Yarrowia lipolytica: one gene and its partner. The main gene of each other region encodes a partner of the protein of the gene in region 2 in a complex. Links are inferred from orthologs where the notes say so. Each region holds a gene or a part of one and is shown on either strand. Other genes may lie near its edges.

What was found.
Region 1: YALI1_D34022g (region 2) and YALI1_F33791g share a complex: the UniProt entries of both Schizosaccharomyces pombe proteins name them as parts of the set1 complex. The link is inferred for Yarrowia lipolytica from reciprocal best matches to the Schizosaccharomyces pombe genes spf1 and swd3.

Annotation. Positions count from the first base shown.
Region 1 is NC_090775.1:3,371,570-3,381,470, reverse strand, and holds YALI1_F33791g (uncharacterized protein), read right to left. Parts: upstream 2,310-9,901; coding exon 1,206-2,309; downstream 1-1,205. Other genes in the region: YALI1_F33812g (uncharacterized protein), read left to right, coding at 1-98, 218-994; YALI1_F33790g (uncharacterized protein), read left to right, coding at 2,447-3,595; YALI1_F33764g (uncharacterized protein), read right to left, coding at 3,746-5,029; YALI1_F33754g (uncharacterized protein), read left to right, coding at 5,903-5,926, 5,983-6,837; YALI1_F33732g (uncharacterized protein), read right to left, coding at 7,084-8,247; YALI1_F33714g (uncharacterized protein), read right to left, coding at 9,039-9,901. UniProt on the Schizosaccharomyces pombe protein: The Set1 complex specifically methylates 'Lys-4' of histone H3.
Region 2 is NC_090773.1:3,394,265-3,404,800, reverse strand, and holds YALI1_D34022g (uncharacterized protein), read right to left. Parts: upstream 2,609-10,536; coding exon 1,085-2,608; downstream 1-1,084. Other genes in the region: YALI1_D34043g (uncharacterized protein), read right to left, coding at 1-132, 483-547; YALI1_D33988g (uncharacterized protein), read right to left, coding at 3,789-6,098; YALI1_D33978g (uncharacterized protein), read left to right, coding at 7,063-7,776; YALI1_D33961g (uncharacterized protein), read left to right, coding at 8,785-9,834. UniProt on the Schizosaccharomyces pombe protein: The Set1 complex specifically methylates 'Lys-4' of histone H3.

The DNA of each region.
Region 1 (9,901 bases), on a different chromosome or scaffold from region 2:
ATGGACCTGTGGTCGACAACTCAGAGACTGTCTACATTTCCTCATTAGCTCTTTTGAAGATGCTGAAGCATGGACGAGCTGGTGTCCCCATGGAAGTGGTGAGTATGCAATGAACGCGGTGCTATTCGACAATGGCTGTTGTACGCCACAACGTGGTGACAATGGTGGCAACAGCAGATCGAGGGGGATGGGTTGAACGAATCAATACTAACAACAGATGGGACTTATGCTGGGAGAGTTTGTGGACGACTACACAGTTCATGTCATTGATGTGTTTGCCATGCCCCAGAGTGGTACTGGTGTCTCCGTTGAGGCCGTTGATGATGTGTTCCAAACACGAATGATGGATATGCTTAAACAGACCGGTCGAGATCAGATGGTCGTCGGATGGTACCATTCACATCCCGGTTTCGGCTGCTGGCTGTCGTCTGTGGATATCAACACCCAACAATCGTTTGAGCAGCTCAACAAGCGAGCAGTGGCAGTGGTGGTGGATCCCATTCAGTCGGTCAAGGGTAAGGTTGTAATTGACGCCTTCCGACTGATTAACACAAACTCGGTGCTTTTGGGCCAGGAGCCTCGATTGTCGACCTCCAACGTGGGTCATCTTAACAAGCCCACAATCCACGCCCTGATCCACGGCCTGAACCGACACTACTACTCCATTAACATCAACTACAAGAAAACTCCCCTGGATGAGAAGATGCTGCAGAACCTGCACAAGAGCAGTTGGACCTCTGGTCTGGAGATCCAGAACTACGAGACCCAGGAGTGCAACAACGCCAACGCTGCACAGAAGATGGTCAAACTGGCCATTGAGTACACCAACCGAGTGCAGGAGGAGCAGGAGATGACCGAGGACCAGCTCAAGACTCGATATGTCGGAAAGCAGGACCCCAAGAAGCATCTTGAGGATGCTGTTACTGATAGACTGGAGGAGAACATTGTTTCTCTCATGGCTGGAAACGTCGACAACGTTGCTTTCCAGGCGTAGGTGGTTTGTACTAGGTAGTGCATTATATAAATAAATTAAACGGTTCATGTTTGAACTGGGGTATGTAGGTGCGTTCGAGTGGCCACTGTACTCCTACTGTAGCTACTGTACGTTTAGTCATTATGCTGTTATTCTATATTACTTATTCGTAGATGCTGTGTGCTTGTAGTAGACAGCACCTTTCGTGTTGTTTTAAGCACCATATTCAGTGCTAGTCGTTGTTCATGCTAACATCTCCATGACCATCTCCATTGCCGTCCTCCTTTTCTCTGCTGTTGTCCCGCTCCTCACTGCTATTGGTTCGGCAGCCATTCTCCTCGGTATCAGTATCCATGTCGTCACTTGGGCTGTTCTCTTCCACCAGCTCAAACAGCTTCACTGAGCCATCTAATGAACAGGTAACGATTTTGTTATCAATAACATCCAGTGAAATAATAACTCCCGGATGAGCGTCAAACGAGCCCCGCACAGTTCGATCCTGTATATCGTACACGTAGACGCGACCGTCCTCAGAGGCATGCAAAAGGACGGCTCGATCCTGACGATACACAAAGCCAGTGGGACAGCAGTACTTGCCATTCTCGTGGCCCTTGTATGTCTTGACCACCTTATTGTTCATGTAGTCCCACAACCTTGCAGTGGAGTCCATATTAGAGACAAGGATGAACTTGGAGTTTGGAGTGAAGCGGGCAAACATGATGGGTGAAGATTCTTCACCGACAATTGTTTTCAAACATTGGCCAGTGGCAGTGTCCCACATTCGGATAAGACCGTCATGTGATCCACTGACAATCATGGTTCCTTCGCATGAGAAGTCGACCGCCGAGATGGGTTGTGAGTGGGCCGCCAGGGTCATGATGCACCGACCCTGAAGCACGTCCCACACTCGGACATTCTCATCGGCTGATCCGGACACCACTAGGTTGCCCTTATAATTGAACTTGACGCATGTCACATAGTGGGTGTGTCCCACTAGGATACGCTGACTGGAAGGTCGGTGTGTGGACCAAATTCGGATCGTTCGATCGTCGGAAGCTGTGGCGAGCATCTTCGAGTCAGGCGACCAGCTGATGTCATTGATTCCCGCTCGATGACCTCTCAGCGTCTGTATCAGGTCTCCAGTAGCAGCGTCCCACAGCTTTATAGACGCGTCTGCAGAACATGTTGCAATCTGTTTGCCGTTTGGGCTGATTTTTGCCGTCGTGCAGGGTGCGGAGTGAGCGTCTATCGTGAGCTTCGTAGGAAACTCCGACGCCAGGTCCTCCTCCTGCTCGGTTCTCACTTTTTTTGTGCCACCGCCGAAATCCGTCGTCATGTTGGAGTATGCAGGAAGAACGCACTCTCAGTCGGTTTGACTAACTTTGATCGGGATAAAACAGGCAGTACTGTAGCATACAACAGCAGCTTCGGGGACGGGCACAAGAAAAAACCAACACCACAAATTAACACAGCATGGACAACATCAAGCGGCTCCTCCAGTACGTTACACGAGGCTTTTACGACACAAAGTCCATCCTGGTGATGGACGCGCTGCTCAAGCATGTGGTGCTTTCAGACGAGGAACTGCACCAGCTGCTGAGCATTCCGGCCAAGGAGATTCGACAGATTTGCGCAAAGCTCAAGGACGACAAGCTGCTCAAGGATCACACCCAGCGCGAGCAGCAGGAAAACACATACGGCTACAACAAAAATTACCAAAAGACGTACTACTACATCCACTACACTGTGACTATCGATGCCATCAAGTGGAAGGTGCACTCCATGAACAAGCAGGCAGAGGAGGCGCTTGGAAAGAAATCCCAGCCACAGGGATACGTGTGTCCGCTGTGTACCAAAAAGTTCACTACCCTCGAGGCCGTCACCAACGTGCAAATGGACGGCACTTTCACCTGTGATGTCTGTTCTACCGTGATTGTCGAAGATACCACCAGTGACGAATCCAGAGTGCACCAGGACCGACTGGAAAAGCTCATGCAGCAAATCAAGCCCATTATAGACGAGCTACGAAAGATAGACGACATCCAGGTGGCCGAAAACACCTTTGAGACGTCGCTTGCCAAGGCGGTTCCCGCACAGCTGGAGGTCACTGCAGGAAGCACCTCTTCTATCAAGACTGCTGGCAGAGGCACTACTTCGTCCCAGACGGGCTCCAACAAAAGCTCCACTCTCACCGTCAACCTTTCCACGGGTGCAGAGGACGAGGCTGCCCAGCGAGATGAGAAGGCTAAGCTGGCCGAACAGAACGCCCTTCCCGCATGGTACATGGAGTCTACTGTTGGTCGACAGATGGTAATGGGGGATACCGACCAGGAGCAACATGGATTCACAGAGATTGGTAACGACGATGACTATCCCCAGAAGAAGGATACAAAGGAGGGTGTTAAAAAGGAGGAAGTGGCTCCCAAGGTCAAGGCCGAGGATATGGAGCCCAAGCTCGAGGAGGAGGAAGAGGACGCTCTGGCCGCATACTACAAGCAATACGAAGCCAAGCAGCGTGCCGAGGATGAGGAGGAGGAAGATGAGGAAGATGACGACGATGATGAGGGTGATTTTGATGATGTTGAGCTGGCTGTTGAGGAGGCTGACTTTGACGAGGAGTAGACGAAGAAAAACTACAGGTGATGTACATATAACAAAGATTTTTTATACACATTAGACTACGAGTAACTAGATACGTACTGGTAGATACAGTACATACTGCATGATTCAAAACATCCAATACCATTATAATACACGTTAGCTACAGCTACTCTACTTGAAACGCTTGTCAATGACATCGGCGCCCTGTTCCTCATACTCCTGCTTGATGACCCAGGAAGAACCAAAGTTGCCGAGAGAAGCGAAAACAGAGGCACCGGTCCATGCCAGCGACTTTCGCTCGGTGGAGGTCACCGAGAGGTAGGGCTGCTTGACATGGAACTGGGTGAAGAACTGGGCCATGTCCCGGTGGATTCGGGCAGTCAGACCGTTGAGCAGAGTAGTTCCTCCAACAACGACAATGTTGTTAAGTAGCTCCATCTGGACCTCGGCTTTGGGGTCGGTCTTGAGCACGGCATGGTAGATGAGCTCCGAGATACCGAGAGTTCCCTCAGGCACGACACCTGGGGGTCCAAACTCGACGGGCCTGAACAGCGACTCGGCGATTCCAAATCGTTCCTGCTCAGCAATGTATGTGCTTCCGTCGGGAAATTCGTAGGGTCTCTGGATGTTGGGTGGCAGCGGTGTGTGAGGCATGATGGGGTGGTAGTTGACCTGGAGGGTGGTTTCCTTGAAGTTGTCGAGCACCCGCTCAATCTCAAAGTTTTTGTACGAGTCAGTCATGCCGGGCAGTTCTCGCAGGAATGTAGAAGGGTTGGGGTCGTTAATGTCCTTCTTCTTCTTGACCAGGTACGAGGGGATGACCTCGACCTGCTTTCGCTTGAACTCCTCGAGAATCAGGTAGTTGAGAAAGTCGCCTCCAAACTTGGAGTGGAAAGAGGCCTTGGTTACCACATTGCCGTCAAGTACGGTAGACACACTGGCCACGGCCGAACCGATCTCCACAATGATGGAGTTGGGTCGCACGGCAGCGTAAGCAGTACAGAGAGGGTTCTTCACGAAGCTGATGGCAGGCGACCGGAACTTGTCGAAGCACATTTCGGCGATCTTGGCCCGTCTTGCACTCGAGTTCCACATCTGCTCTGTGATCACCAGAGGGTACTCGCTCAAGTCGTCCACCTTGAGCTTTTCCTTGATGGCGTACTCCCAAAGCTTGGCCACTCCATCCCAGTCCTGGATGCAACCGTCCTGCACGGGGCTGTAGATTTCCTTGCCGGCTACAGGTCGATGCACGTTTTCCAGGCCGAATTCGTACACATCTTCGCCCTTGTCGTTTGTGTACTTGCCGTATTTGGTGGGGATGACCACCTTGGGGAGGTCGTCTCCCGAGAAGCCGACACGCGTGTATGACGAGCCGCACTCAATGACGATGGACGTGACTTCGTCCGACGACGATTGGACGGCTCCGTTGGCTGTGGGGGGCGTTAGTGACGGCATTGGATGTGTGGTGATGGACGTGATGGTAGATGAAACTTTAGGTGGTGATGTCTGACTGTCGAGTCGTGAACTTAATTGAGGTAAGAGTGAATGTGAGATGGTGGAGGGGATGCATTGGGCATCGGAGTGACAGGGAATAGATTTACTGTACTAATAGAGAGATGGAATTAATATTGGAACTAGAACGTCTGTTTATTTAGGGTAAAACTCGTTCAAATAGATTCATGTAGGAGACGATTAACAAAGACATGATTGTATTACACTGTAATTAGCAGAGCTGTGAGCATAAAAACACTGTAGATACGGCCAAACGCGACAGTGATAAAGGAAATGTTGCGAATTTGTGGATCAGAGATATAACATTGGTTTTATATAAATTAATTTTGTCCATTATGCGGAAGCAAAACAATTATTTCATACATACCAGCACTGTAAACACTGCCGTGGACACTCACGAAGTTTAGTTGGTTATTCTATCCATATTAGTTGATCTGGCTTTTAAGCGAACGTACTCTCATTTATGTTCTAGGTACGGCAAGATGGAGCACATCGACATTTGTGAATAGCGATACGATATTCGAAATCTACTCACGTGACATCAATTTGACATCCATGCCACAAATTGGACCAAGATAATCTTCTACTGCTACAACCTCCACCAATGCTTCTCCAGCTTTTGGTGTGCATACACGGGCCGAAGCGGACATGCTGGGAGCCTAAAGCGCATCTTGAGTCAAACACGGCTGAAGTTATCCTCGAGACTTTTCAGGTGAAAAATATCCACACTAAGCGGATCTAAAAACACGGACTGACACATCCAGAGCCCGTTCAACAGCACCCCCACTGAAAAGTACAGACACAGACACATTGACAATGGTTTCATCAGATACCAAGAAGGTGAGTATGAGTCATAGTCGACAACTACTACCAGCAAGCATCATGATCTAACACAGGCCGAACCTTGGAAGTCCCTGGTAGCCGGTTCTACGGCCGGAGCCGTGGAGGGTCTCGTTACCTACCCTTTCGAATGGTCCAAGACCCGTCTCCAGCTCGTTGACAAGTCATCCACCGCCTCCAGAAACCCTCTGGTGCTCATCTACAACACAGCCAAGACCCAGGGTCTCGGAGCAGTGTACACTGGTTGCCCCGCTTTCATTGTCGGCAATACCGTCAAGGCTGGTGTCCGGTTCCTTGGTTTCGACGCAATCAAGGGCCTGCTGGCCGACAAGGATGGTAAGGTGTCCGGACCTCGAGGAGTTCTAGCGGGACTGGGAGCCGGTGTGCTTGAGTCCGTCGTCGCTGTGACTCCTTTTGAGACCATCAAGACAGCCATGATCGACGACCGACAGAGTAAGAATCCCAAGTACCAGGGTCTGTTCAAGGGAACCGCACAGCTCATCAAGGACAAGGGCCTCTCCGGTATCTACCGTGGTCTTGTCCCTGTTACCATGCGACAGGCTGCGAACCAGGCTGTCCGCCTGGGATCTTACAACTGGATGAAGGTGTTCATTCAGAGCCGGCAGAAGGACCCTAAGGCCCCTCTCTCGTCTCTGTCCACATTCATTGTCGGTGCCTTTGCCGGTATCGTCACTGTTTACACCACCATGCCTCTGGATACCGTCAAGACCCGAATGCAATCGTTGGAGGCCAAAAAGGAATACCGAGGCACCTTCCACTGCTTTGCTCGAATCTTCAAGGAGGAGGGCCTGTTGACCTTCTGGAAGGGAGCCACTCCCCGTCTCGGACGACTCATTCTCTCCGGAGGTATTGTCTTTACCATCTATGAGAAGATCATGGAGATTCTTTAGACGTTTATACATAATGACTAGATGAACAGAAAACAACATCGTGCGTACGTTATTACATTGATCAATATATTAGTACTTGTATCAAATACTCTTCTAGTCTCACAAAAATGAACGCAATATGAAACAGTCTACAATACAGATGCTTGTACTCCATCATGCTATTACAGTATGTGCCATGCAGTGTCTAATAAATAATGGTCCCCTTCCTGACGGGGGCCAAGTTAGTCTATTTGCTTCCCTCCTTTCCTAGACAGCAGTCTCGGGGGTATCTTCTTCCGTCACTACGTGCTGGGGAGTTTGAAGAACAATCAACTCCATTCGTCGAGCACGCCAGTAGTCCCACAGAGCTTTGAGAATGACAAGAGTTCCCACCGCCATGATAATGCCTGACCAGAAGACATTCTTTTCATGAGCGGCCCGCTCCTGTTCCTGCACCGTGGGGTCCACATGCTCCATGGTCGGAATGACTGCGTTTCCCGGAATGTTGGATCCGTAACCGGGTACATCGAAGTTGTTGGGGTCTGAGGGCACAAATTGGTGTGCAGGTACTGACGAGTAGTCTGTAGTGGGGTTTCCTCCGCTGTTTCGCATGTACATGCCGATCTGGAACACTGTGAGTCCGAGGCCTGCTCGAGAGCCCTGTTTGGCCGAGTGCGACGTGTGCAGCAGGTACGTAAGAACAAAACCGATGAATTGGAAAACGGACGATACAGTCATGTTCCACAAAAAAGAAATGGGCGAGCCCACGGGAAGTCCGTCGATAAACACCTCTTCCGCGTAGCCAGGGTGGAGAATAGTGGTTGCCCAGTAAGGAGGAGTGGCATCCGCAGCAGCCTCCTCGTAGGTAGGAGGTGTTTCGTCAGTGGGCTTATCTTCGTCGTCATCATTGGCCTGAGTGTTTGAAAACACACCATCGTGCGAAGATGATGCTGGAGGTTCTGTTGTAGGCAGCAGTTGACCTCTGTTGAATAGACGGTTGAAGAAGCCGGTAGAAAACACGTTGGAGCCCTCGGACCCGGAGCCAGCGTTGCCTCCCGATCCAGAACCGGTGTTTCCAGCTTCAGGAAAACCTCCAGGGATCCGGGTATGGCCTCCGTTGTTGTTGGAGCCCCCTAACCGGTCGTCTGCATAGTTGCTTCTGTCGTACTGGGGGTCTTCCGTCTGCGCCAGCTCCTCCAGAGTAGCTCCTCCATCGTCGTCATGGTTCAGGTCGTCGTCATCATCTTGTGTGCTGGTGTCGACCTGGTTGTAGCTACGTCCCATCCGTCCTCCGCTCTGGAGATGATGTTCATCATCCGAGTCCGAATCTGAGTCGCTTCCAAAAGCCGCAGCCAGAGCGTCACGTGGACTGGAGGGCGCGTCGAATAACACGTCGTTCGAGTCGTTGGATTCCATGCTGTGTCGAGTCATTGTTAGCGAAGAGGTGCTACGTACTGCGGATGTATATATACAACCTGCGTGAAGAGGCGTATGGTCACGTGTCTTAAACCCTATTTCAAGGGGGCGGAACAGGTCTAGGTGTTTTAGCAGGAAGTTGGAGGGTGATTATGGGTTTGTGAGGCAGTGGCCACGTGAGTGACGATTTTTGATACTACCATCATCTCTGTGTCCTATGGCTAGTTTTTTAGTGACTGAGTACTCTCCATACCCCATACAAACAATGTCTCCTACTTGTACTTGAAAGTATAACCGTGCCAAACACAGCACAGAGTAACAACTCAAGTGGCGTTTTACATCTGATCAGAATGTGAGCACGGTACAGGTCTTGGGAGCTTGACAAGGAAAAAATTATCCGTAGATGTAAAGGAAATTTCTCTTTAGTTCTGCTTTCGTTTTCGTTTGCCCTACTAAAATGCTTCTGGAAAATACTGGAAGAGCCGTCTTGCCACTTTCGTTGTGGTGGCAACGATAGTGTTATTGGAAGCGCTGCATCTCAAATGTAAGCTGCGTGACTTTCTGGAGCGTGAGCGTAAGGGGCTGTTTGTGATATGAGGTTTCTTTTCATGTCCGTCATATGAAGGGATAAGGGGGTAGCGGAATGGCGACTCAGCTCATGCCCCAGAAATATAAGGCTACACGTGGTGATAGTTTTAGATAGGCTATTGATAGTTCATTTATATTTATGCTATGTAGGTATATAAAAAGGTTAGTAAGGGACTTCGGTGACTACGTACCGGTATTCGTACTGTAGACTCGTGGGCCTACAGCTTCATCCGCTTACCGATTTCGGAAGACCAACCCTTGGCCTGCTCAAAACCATGAGTTCGAGTCTGGTAGTCCTCAAAGGCCTTGACAATGCCCTTTCTGGTGGTTGCAACGAAGGGACCATGCTGGACAATGGGCTGTTCCAGAATCTTTCCTCCAATGACAATGACTCTTGAGGAAGGACCAGGGATGAAGTCGATAGAGTCTCCTCCATTCTTGAATATAACCACATCATGCTGCTTGATCTTCTTGCCGTTGACGGTAGCTGTGCCTTTCATGACATATAACAGCGAGTTGAAGCCCTCAGGTATATCCTGGTTGACCTCTCGTCCGCTGTACTGCTTGGAAGATTCGAAATCAAGGAACCAGACAGGAGTATACGCAAGATCTTTGACGGAATCGACGCCCATAGACTTGCCAGAAATCACCTTGACAGTGAGATCCTCGCTATCCGATTTGGCAATAGGAATCTCAGCGGCTCTCAGATCTCTGTACCGAGGTTTGCAGTTCTTGAGCTCCTTGGGTAGGTCCACCCACAGCTGGATACCCTCCACAGTTCGGACCTCTCCATTAGGACCCGCAGAAGGCATTTCAGCATGCACTATACCTCGTCCAGCAGTCATAAATTGTAAATCTCCGGCATTAAGAGTACCCTTGCTACCAGTGAAATCCTCGTGGTCGACGGATCCATCAACCACATAGGTGATAGTCTCCTGGCCTCGATGAGGATGGTCTGGGAAACCAGCAGAAGAGGGCACCTTGAAATGATCAAACATAAGAAAGGGGGTAAAGTTCACCATATTCCCAGTAGGCATGACACGCCGAACACGCGCTCCTCGACCCTCGGAAGTCTCTAGAG
Region 2 (10,536 bases):
TGTTTCCATTGCTGTGCTCCATCGACCGAGGGCCAAAGTTTGGTCTTGATGATTTTGTTGGCGACCTTCTCCACGTCTTCTGCCGTATCTTCATGGCCCACTCCGATAAGAACAACTAGCCCGTGGGAGATTCTGTGTTAGCGGGCCCGAAAGCACGGTGGCCAGGATGGAGAATCCGAGTGGACAACAATTGATCCAATAGTAATGGAGTGTGACAGAAGTGAAGAGTCTCAGGCAGTTGATTAAGACTGCTCATAGAACGAATATGAGGCGAGAACTCGTTGTTTCTGGGGGCCTGTAGAATCATTGGTCTTTCCGTCCGTTCTGAAAACCCTTGTGAATGGTACCCGCTGTCTCGTCTTGTTTCCTTCTGTTGTCTATCCGTCCTTCTGTAGTCCCACCGTTGCCCTTCTCGTATCATATGGGCCGTCTCCTCAGAGCATGCTCCCCGGTTCCGGTGGCTCTTCGCCTGCTATACTCACTGACTGACAATCTTCGAATCGACTGTCACCGATCCGCTCTTGGCTCTCTGGATAACAGCTCTCATTGTTGATGGAGGTGGTGAGTGTGACTGATTCAGATCTGAAGCGTGATCTCATGCAAGCTTAATTGCAGAATCCGGAAATGGTGGGGAGATGCTGACAAAGTGAGAGATGTCATATCGTGTTCCGTAGTTGTCAAATACAAGTAAATTTGTGGCTCCTCTACTTTCGGCACAGATGTAACGATTTTCCTACTGAATATCTCTCTGTAAAGACATTTGAGGTTACAATTGGTGTATGTTTATGGTGGCTCCTTCCTCAACTAAACCTAAGTATAATTGTAAGTATATGTTTCGCTTAAATCTACAAATAGCTGAGAATCTGGAGTGAGGAGTTAGCACCTTTGCTGGGGTATCCTCACCAGAAGAATCTGGACAGACATCATTTTATGTACTTGTACGAGTTGTTGTACGAGTACATAGGTGTATCCCCAATAATCTTCTCTGAGATTCACTTTTTCACAAGTACTGTAACTCCAATAAATAATATCTAAAAGTACATTTCTGACCTCTTCCAAATCAGACTCTCTTCACACCCGCCTCTCACTTGATCCACGTCTTTCTCTCAACGCTTCTCAGCCGCTCAATCTCCTTCAGATCGGCCTCGTCGCCTTCGCTTCTCTCCATTTCCCGCTGGAGAATAGCCAGCTGCAAATTCAGCCGGTCGGTAATCAGAGCAGCCCAGCCTAGATGGTTATAGCATTTCCGCTTGTCCTGCAAGCAAATGTGTTCCTTGTTGTGTAGAGCATCGTGGGAAGGAGTGACTGTCTTACTAGTATCATCACTCATGGCAATACCCACCAGTTCATCCTGGGCAGCAAATTCATTCGCCCAGATGTCATGATCCTTGTCCAGACGCGAATCGTAGCCACATAAATCCTTCTTTCTTACTCCCGCGGCTGTAGCGGCCTCTTCACTGAGACTCTTGGTTCGGTCCTTGACCAGAGTCATGTACTTGAGCTTTTGTTCCACAAACTTGAGCTGCGTGGAGGGTTGTTTAGGAGTCACAGGAGACGCTTCGACGGGAGTAGTCGAGCCTAGAGTCTTGAACGCAGCCAGGTTGGGAGTCTGTTGGACGATAGCAGCTAGACGTTCCTCGGAAAGCTTTCCAAACGGCTCCTCAGTGTCGTCAGCCACACTTGAGTTGCTGTTGGTGCTGAGAGCAGCCACTCTGCCCTTCATGTACTCCAGACCGTGTTCTCTGCAGCAGTACTTGCTGGGGTATGAGACAGCCTTGTGGCACTCTTCCAGTCGACAAACGCGCTTCCAGGTGGTTTCTGTGCCGTGTTTCAGCGTCATCTGATGGGCCACCGTGGCCTCTTCGCCGGGACGCATCTTTTCGGCCTTGTGTGTGCAGTAAGGACAGCAGAACTTGTGCATGAGTTTTGCTCTGGCTGGAGTTATACCCACACAGCTTCCATGGATCCATTCTTCGCAGTAATCGCATCCAATCATCCACTTTCCGTCGTCAGGTCGTCTGCACACACAAAATAGATCCTGGTGATCTTCGTCGCCATGGTGACTGGTGTCAACGGGTGGAGCACCGGGGGGCAACTTGTAGTCCTTCGCAACGGCGACTTTCAGCTTCTTTTTCGGAGCAGGACGGCTCTTGGGTTTCGGTTGACGCCGCTTGGAAGACTTGCTGGGAATGTGATCGGGGTCGGGAGACATCAGATCGGAGGGCGTTTCTCGAGGCGATTCAGTAGCCGAGGGCGTGGCTGATCCTGCCTCGGACGTGAGCAGCTCAGCTTTGACAACCGGGTCGGATTTCATCACAGATTCGGGCTTTGCTGTCTCCGCTTGGTTCTCTTTCATAGGAACACTCTTCTTCAACAAAGAGTATGAAAATCCACCACTAGGCTCGTCACTGTCACTCGCCTCTTCATTCTCAACCGGCGGATCGCTAGGAGGGTTGCTCTCGAGGTTGGCAGCTGTCTCGGGCTCCCGTTTGAAGTCTTCTTCGACCGTGGCGTCTGTATCGTCCGAAGTCGCGTCGTTAGAAGACATGTTGTGTGGTGTTGTTGAGTTGGTGATAGTGTAGTACTGTATGCAAGGTGAAATATACATGCATGAAATTTACTCCATTGTTTCAAGTGTCGCGCATGAACTGACTAAACGTCAGTGGAAATGCGATATTGATCAGGTGAATGGATATATCACGTGATTTAGTACCAGTAGGCGTTTACCTAAGCGGAATATTCCCTATTATTGCATAATCTGAAACTTTGACATCAACTTTGGGCACCATTATATGAACCCCTTTTAGCTCGTGTATTCTCGAGTTCAATTACAATACATACTGTATTATGGTACTTGTACTGACTTGAACTGACAAGAAAAATGAAAGCTCCCACATGGTCTCATAGAACCCCCACCGACCCCAAATTCTTGGTTTTTAATATAAGTACATACTTGTACTCCAGATCCAGCCTCCGCGGCTGTTTCGGAGACCAAAGTAACGGAAGTCACTGACACGCCCAATCGTACTTGTACCAAAATATAGCTGGTGCCCATTACTTATAGAACAGTACAAGTAGAGATCAAGAACTGCCTGTGGCAATAGTTAGCTAGATACATAGACATTAGGGAGATTTTTATCAGTTTCCCTACAAAATTGGCTATCAGAAGTACAGTATGTACAGTTTTTTTTTTTTTTTTTTTTTTTTTTTTTATACCTTTAATTATAAACTTTGCCGTGAAAAATAACCTTTGAAGAATGCAGTTACACGATATACAATTAACCACTTTGTGTCATGTCCAACTTTGGACGACATTTCCAGTAAAAAAATCATAAAAAAACCTGGTTCAGTCCGTGTTGTATAGTATGTACTATAGTGGATGTTTTACTTAATCCAACTCTCACTATTACTTGATGATTAGTTAGAGTAGGTCGCTGTTGGTGCTACTGCGAGTTGTATTAATTGTAAACCATCGCAAGCTGCATGATTTTTACACCATCGACTCAGCGCCAGCTCGTGAATCGATTAGATACTTTTCATGGACCCTGGTCATTGGGAATGTGCACTATGTTGTACGTTTTCAGGTCTCTTATCATTAGCAATGGTAGCCACTGATGTACAACCCCAGAGGCTACGTAGACTGTACAGAATATCGCATAAATAATATTAGTACAAGTGTAGACGGTTAGAGCGGCAACGCATGCTTGCCTAATAGGTCCAATACAAAAGAGTTACACACTCATTTCACCCTGGTCCGTTCGGTGAGAGCTGCACACTCACCTCGCAGTCTACTCAATAGCAGTGAACGGCCTCTTCTGCGCCTCTCTCACCTCCTTCCCTACCTCCCCTTTCTCCCCCTCCCCAAAACACCTCTGGTACTCTTTCTCCTTCTCCTTCTCCGTGTATTCTTCCACCAGCCCTCTCACCACGCCCCTTAATCTCGTGGCCTCCACACACACAGGAGCTTCACTATCATTGTAGACAAACGCATTGTCAAACATGACTTCGAAGTCTGGCAGCATCTGGGCCACATGGTCGTACTCCAGATTCAGGGTCTTTTCCCGAATCTCCGTCATGGACATGGGGCATTCGACCACCTCTCTGTAACCCGGAATCTCGGGAATCTCCAGAAAGTACCCATTGGAATCCTGCTCGGTCATCTCGTCGCACAGCCTGAGACATAGGGCTGTAACAGGCAGGAGAAGCGTTCGGATGAGCTCACCCTGGACCTTGAGATAATCCAGCTTGACGGATTCTCGTTCAGCAAGTAGCTTTACCCGCACCTTGATTCGCTCCAGCTCGTTTATCAGGACAATCATGTCTCTGTATCGCTTCTGTCTGTCCTCCACAGACTCGAGTTGAGTGGAGGCCACAGCTTGCGAGTTTTCCAGAGCGATATTGAGCCGTTTGATGAGCGCAGCGCCCCGTTTGAACTCCCGCTTCAGAGCCCAGTACCGGGCCACCATAGTCACAAACTTGCGACAGTGCGAGATCTTGAACGGCTCCAAAGCATCACAGATGCGGTCGATGATGACTTTGGGCAGAAGAGGAGTACCTGCGGGTGTTTTCCAGGTGGGATAGACCTCAGTAACAACTGTTTGATCTGCTTCTGAGGGAGTTGGGAAGTCCCTGCCTTCCTCTCCACAAGGAGTAGCTGGCTGAGGGGTCTGTGAGGTGCCCATTTCGACAGGCGTGTCCACAGGGGTACTAACAACGTCTTCGACCGTTGTCGTAGCCACATTTCCCTCCCCACCTCCCGGAGTAGGAGCTTCGCTACCAAGTTCAGAGGACTCTGTCGTAGTAGCAACGTCCTCAATGGCCTTCCTCCTACCTTTACCATCATACCTCTCGGCAAACCACTTTCGCAGCGCCTTTATCCTCATTAGAGTGTCGTCGTCTCCTCCATGATTGTGACAATACGCTCTCATAGATCCTGCATCAAAAATTGCGCCCTGAACGCCATGGAGCATTTCCATCTGTAGACCTGCTCGTCTGGCACAGGTCACGTGAAAGGCCTGCACACAGCTGCCCCGTGCACATTGGATACATGCACCCATGCGCTGCTTGCAAATGTAACAATGTAGCTTCCAGCGGCTACGGGGGACGTCACGGACGTGACTGATGGGCTCCATGTTGCGACCACCAATCTTGATTTCGGGGATCCACAACGCGCAAATAACATGTCCCCAGTTCTTTTGCGTGGTCATTTTGAATGCTCCAACCTGGGAAGGACAAAAGATGCACGTTCCCTTCTTGTTTCGTCGTCGCGCACGTGAGAAGCTGCATTTTCGACACAGCCACTGGCCCTCAGGAATGTGGGTCACTCCGTAGCATTCCTGATGACACGCCATATCGCAGCCGTCGCAGTATACAATGGCGTTAGAGTTGTCACACTCGGACTCGCCGCAGATGCAACATGCTTGGTCATCCAGCGAGTCCATTTCGTCGTGTGTCTGGGGCGGCTTTGGAGGCATGGAAGATGCCAGCGAGAACCAGTGGCGTTCTATGAGAGTAACCACGTATTCAAACATTTCGTGAGTCGGCGGAAACGGTCCTTGTGGCGGTTCCGGTGTGTATCCTCGGAGAATGAGTTGTCCATCGGCGTTGTATGTGGGTGATGAAGGTGGTGGTGAAGTAGCTGAGTCTGAAGCAACAGCTTGATCGGTATCGGGAGCACCATCGGCACCACTTTCACCGGAATCTCTGCTATCTTCGGCGGGTGGCCACTGTTCCGTAACCATATCCATGAAAAAAGCATCCTGCTCGTCCATATCATATTCCACCCCTTCCACCTCGGGCTGTTCTTGCATGTATTCATCAGGCAAGGTAAACTCTTCAGTCATCTGGTATCCTATCTGTTCCAGCGCGGGCGTCACGTCCAGATCAAACTCGTCCATGGGCAGAAGGGTGAAACTGGCCTTGTTGAGTCTCACTGTTGGGTCCAGACGCGGATTTGGAGGCGGTTCTCGATAACTCTGGTCGTCCGTATAACAATCGAGTTTCTCGGTAAGATCGAGATCCGAGTGGAATTCCTGGTGCGGGATTTCTTCCCGCGGCTTGCCATAGGCGTTGTGGATGCCCAGGAGGGAGTTGTCCATAACGGCGGTCGTTGGTGTGCTCTGAGTCAAGTGACGAGATAACTGTAGCGGACGACGTGTTCAAAATGTGCGCGTTTGTGGATTGTGAGAGTATCGTGGTTCCTTCTCACGTAATCTGAGCGGGACCTCTCGTCTCAGAGATCTTGTAGCCGCTTCTGTCGTGTCGGCTCAAGAGTGACGCTGTCTGGTGGTCTTGATTGTTGCGGCGCTTGTAGTCACGTGATTCCAGCAATAAGTGCTATATGGGTGATCCTCCTGGTTGTGTTTCGTATGTGTTTGTTGTTTCTGGAGGCGTTCAGATCCGCTCTGAGTGTTTCTGTCTGTTCAGTGCCACCGCGTATGGTGGAAAAAAGTAGAGTTTCATGTTGGTCCAATATTTAGAGTTATTGTAATAGTTAATAAGTAGATGTAGGGCCACAACAGACGATTGACAATCGGCCTGGAGCTGGTAATGCCAGATATATTGAGAAAGTGAGAGTTCAAGAGCAGTGTGTGTGCCACAAAAAATAAAAACCAACTTTTATAATTCCCAAAACTCTCCTGGAACACCAGTCCAACAACCGTCTAACAACCCTCCACCTTCAAATAAACTTTTGATAACTGACTGCAGACCAGCACTTAAAAAAAAGTACGACCAGTACACGTTAGACAGCACACAACATCCGGCAAAATGGACATGCAAAATCGAGTGGGATCGAAAAAAGGAGGTGAGTATGGAGATGCGAGGAAGGCTCACGTGATGAACACATTCAGCTGGACATGATTGGAGTTCTGTGTAGCAGTGTTAGACATGACTCTGATGATCACTGAACTGTTTTCTTGCTGCTACTCAAACTTATGTCTGGTAGCCATTCAGGAGCTGTTCACCATGATGCAACCTGTTGATTCTGGCTTTTTTTTTCATGCGGATGGAGCCATCTCGCTGGAGATGGCCTGGGTCGTCTAACGTATTTGAGAGCTGGACATGACACATTCTGTCCTGTCCGCCCCTACCGTGCTAAAACGACCACCGTCTATCGGGTCATTCACTAGCAATACTAACTCAGGCGGCGGAATGGCCTCTGAATCTCAAGCCAATCTTCACCGACGAGAACGGCTCCGAAAACTCGCTAGTGAACAGCTCGACATTTCCAAAGACCCATACATTTTCAAGAACCACCTGGGCTACTTTGAATGTCGCCTCTGCCTCACCAGTCATGTGACCGACGGTAGCTATCTCTCCCACACCCAAGGCAAGCGGCATCAACAAAACTTAGCCAAGAGAGGAGCTCAGAGTCGAGATGGACCCAGGGAGCAGAACCGGGAACTATCCGGAGCCAACAAAATCCACATTAAGAAATCTGCGCTCAAAATCGGCCGTCCCGGTTACAAGATCACCAAGGTGAAGGACCCGCTGACCAAGCAGCTGGGTCTGCTTATGCAGATCAACTTTGCAGAGATTGGCACGGGAGTCACCCCAAGATACAGATTCATGTCTGCGTTCGAGCAAAAGGTGGACGTTCCGGCAGACAGAAGGTTTCAGTATCTGTTGATTGCGGCTGAGCCGTATGAGACAATTGCTTTCAAGATCCCTGCGAAGGAGCTGGATCAGCATCCGAGTAAGTTTTGGAACCATTGGGATAAGGATCGCAGGGATTATGTGTTGCAGGTCATGTTCAAAGCAGAGCGACAAGCATAATCAAATACGAGCGAGGGAGTGTTCGAAATCGCCCGAGTACGAGCCAAGCGAGGCGCTGGGCACCGACACCGACATTCTTCGTGCTTTCACTGTTTCTGAACAACCATCCAGCTTTACTTTCTCTGCACATCTTCACCTCTGCGCTCTTTGTTTCAGCGTAAGGGTTCTGAATGCGCCTCTGACCTTCTCTTCGGCTCCAATCAATGGATGAAGGGAAGCATCGAGGGGAATCACGTATCATGGTGCATGGAAGGGTACAGCGGACATGTGGAAGACGCATGGTTCATCTGAGCCTGTATATTTATCAATGTATATTAGATTTTGGTGGTGTGCAAGTACAGCACCTACTTGTACTATGTAGACTGTTTTGAGGAACTGCTAGGATTGTTTGCAGTGTAGCAACCCCTGAGACAGAGTAGAGAGAACATTGTAGCTTGCTGTGGTCAGACAAGAATGATATTAATTACGACACTGCGTTCCGAGTATGCGCATGAGCCGTTATTGGAGTGGGGTGCAGGTTGTCTCAAAGATACCCGGAAAACAATAGAACAAAAAAAAGAAAAAGACAGATGAAAACAAAAGAAGAAAAAAAACGGATAAAAAACAAACAGAGCTGATATATTGATATGACCACAAAAACAAGAGAAAATGTCATAATTTCGAATTACGAGCATTTTTAGCGAGACTATGAAAAAAACAGTCAAATCAGTGGTAGTGTACAAGTAGACAATGTCTCATTCTGTTCACTTCCGTACACCCATATTTTGACTCCCATCTCAGTTGCACTTGTCATGCACCCCTCCCCACAGTCGAATTTCTTTCCCCTCTCTCTCGGGAGTGTGGAGATGCCTGGGAGTAGGGAAGAGACTGATTTGGAACCCAGTGTTGTGTGTGAGGGATTCTACAGGTATATATATAGTGGCTGAGTGGTCCTCAATTCAACACCAGCTCTCAGCTACTCTCACAACAACACTTTTCCAAACTACTACCAACTACCATCTCTTCACCATGACCACCATCCCCAAGACCCAGAAGGCTGTCATTTTCGAGACCTCCGGCGGTCCTCTCATGTACAAGGACGTGCCTGTGCCTGTTCCTGCCGACGACGAGATTCTCGTCAACGTCAAGTTTTCCGGAGTGTGCCACACTGACCTCCATGCCTGGAAGGGCGACTGGCCTCTTGACACCAAACTTCCTCTCATTGGCGGCCACGAGGGCGCCGGAGTTGTCGTGGCCAAGGGCAAGAACGTGACCACCTTCGAAATCGGCGACTACGCCGGTATCAAGTGGATTAACAAGGCCTGTTACACCTGTGAGTTCTGCCAGGTGTCTGCCGAGCCCAACTGTCCTAAAGCTACCATGTCGGGATACACCCACGACGGCTCGTTCCAGCAGTACGCCACTGCCAACGCTGTCCAGGCAGCCCATATCCCCAAGAACTGCGACCTCGCCCAGATTGCTCCCATTCTCTGCGCCGGCATCACCGTCTACAAGGCTCTTAAGACCGCTGGCCTCAAGGCTGGTGAGTGGGCCGCCGTTACCGGAGCTGGAGGAGGCCTCGGTTCTCTGGCCGTCCAGTACGCTAAGGCCATGGGCTACCGAGTGCTGGCCATTGACACCGGCGCCGACAAGGAGAAGATGTGCAAGGAGCTCGGCGCCGAGGTCTTCATCGACTTTGCTAAGTCCAAGGATCTGGTCAAGGACGTCCAGGATGCCACCAAGGGCGGACCCCACGCCGTTATCAACGTGTCTGTCTCCGAGTTTGCCGTCAACCAGTCCGTCGAGTACGTGCGAACTCTGGGCACCGTGGTTCTGGTCGGCCTGCCCGCTGGAGCTGTCTGCAAGTCGCCCATCTTCCAGCAAGTGGCTCGATCCATTCAGATCAAGGGTTCCTATGTTGGCAACCGAGCCGACTCGCAGGAGGCCATTGAATTCTTCGCCCGGGGCCTTGTCAAGTCTCCCATTATTATTGTGGGTCTTTCCCAGCTGGAGTCCGTCTACAAGCTGATGGAGGAGGGCAAGATTGCCGGCAGATACGTTCTGGACACTTACAAGTAAGATGAAAGTACAGTACCAGGATTGAAGGCCATGAGGACTACAGGTTCTCGAGTACCTAACTTGATGCTCTGTGTGATGATATTATGATAATGACTAAATAGTAAATGAAGGTGGCGAGAAAAAGAGACCAGTGTTTGTAGTTCACTTACAGGCTTAGCAAGGGTTCCAGTCTGGCGCGATACCTCCAGTTCACAGTCCGTGTTTCAAACTGTACATTCAGGATGACGTCTGTATCGAATAGTTGATTTCGGAGTGATATTATGGAGGATGAATGAGTGTAAAAATGTCCAGCAAAGTTGTATCAGCGTAACAAGACATGTTTCAAGTCTCACATCGACGATCTTAGTATACAGAATGTACATTCCGACTATCGTGATATTGCGCGAATGGTTGAAAAAGGACAGGAACTTCTTCGTTAGAATCCATATCCCTCTGCTGATTTCTTGCTATATTTCATTGTCCAAAAATTCTCCTTCATCCCCATGCTGGAGACAACTCACTACTCCTGATATTGTCACCCTCAGTGTAAAGTAAACCTCCAACTAAAGCCTGCAAAGGTCAACAATGAACTGAACTTTTGGTATTGATTTATTAAGTCCGCCCAGGAGTTGAAGTTGTACTATGAGCTGGTTATTTTCTTATATCCCAACTTTTCCTATGCTGACTGGTAAATATTTATATATAAATCAAACGATTAAGCCA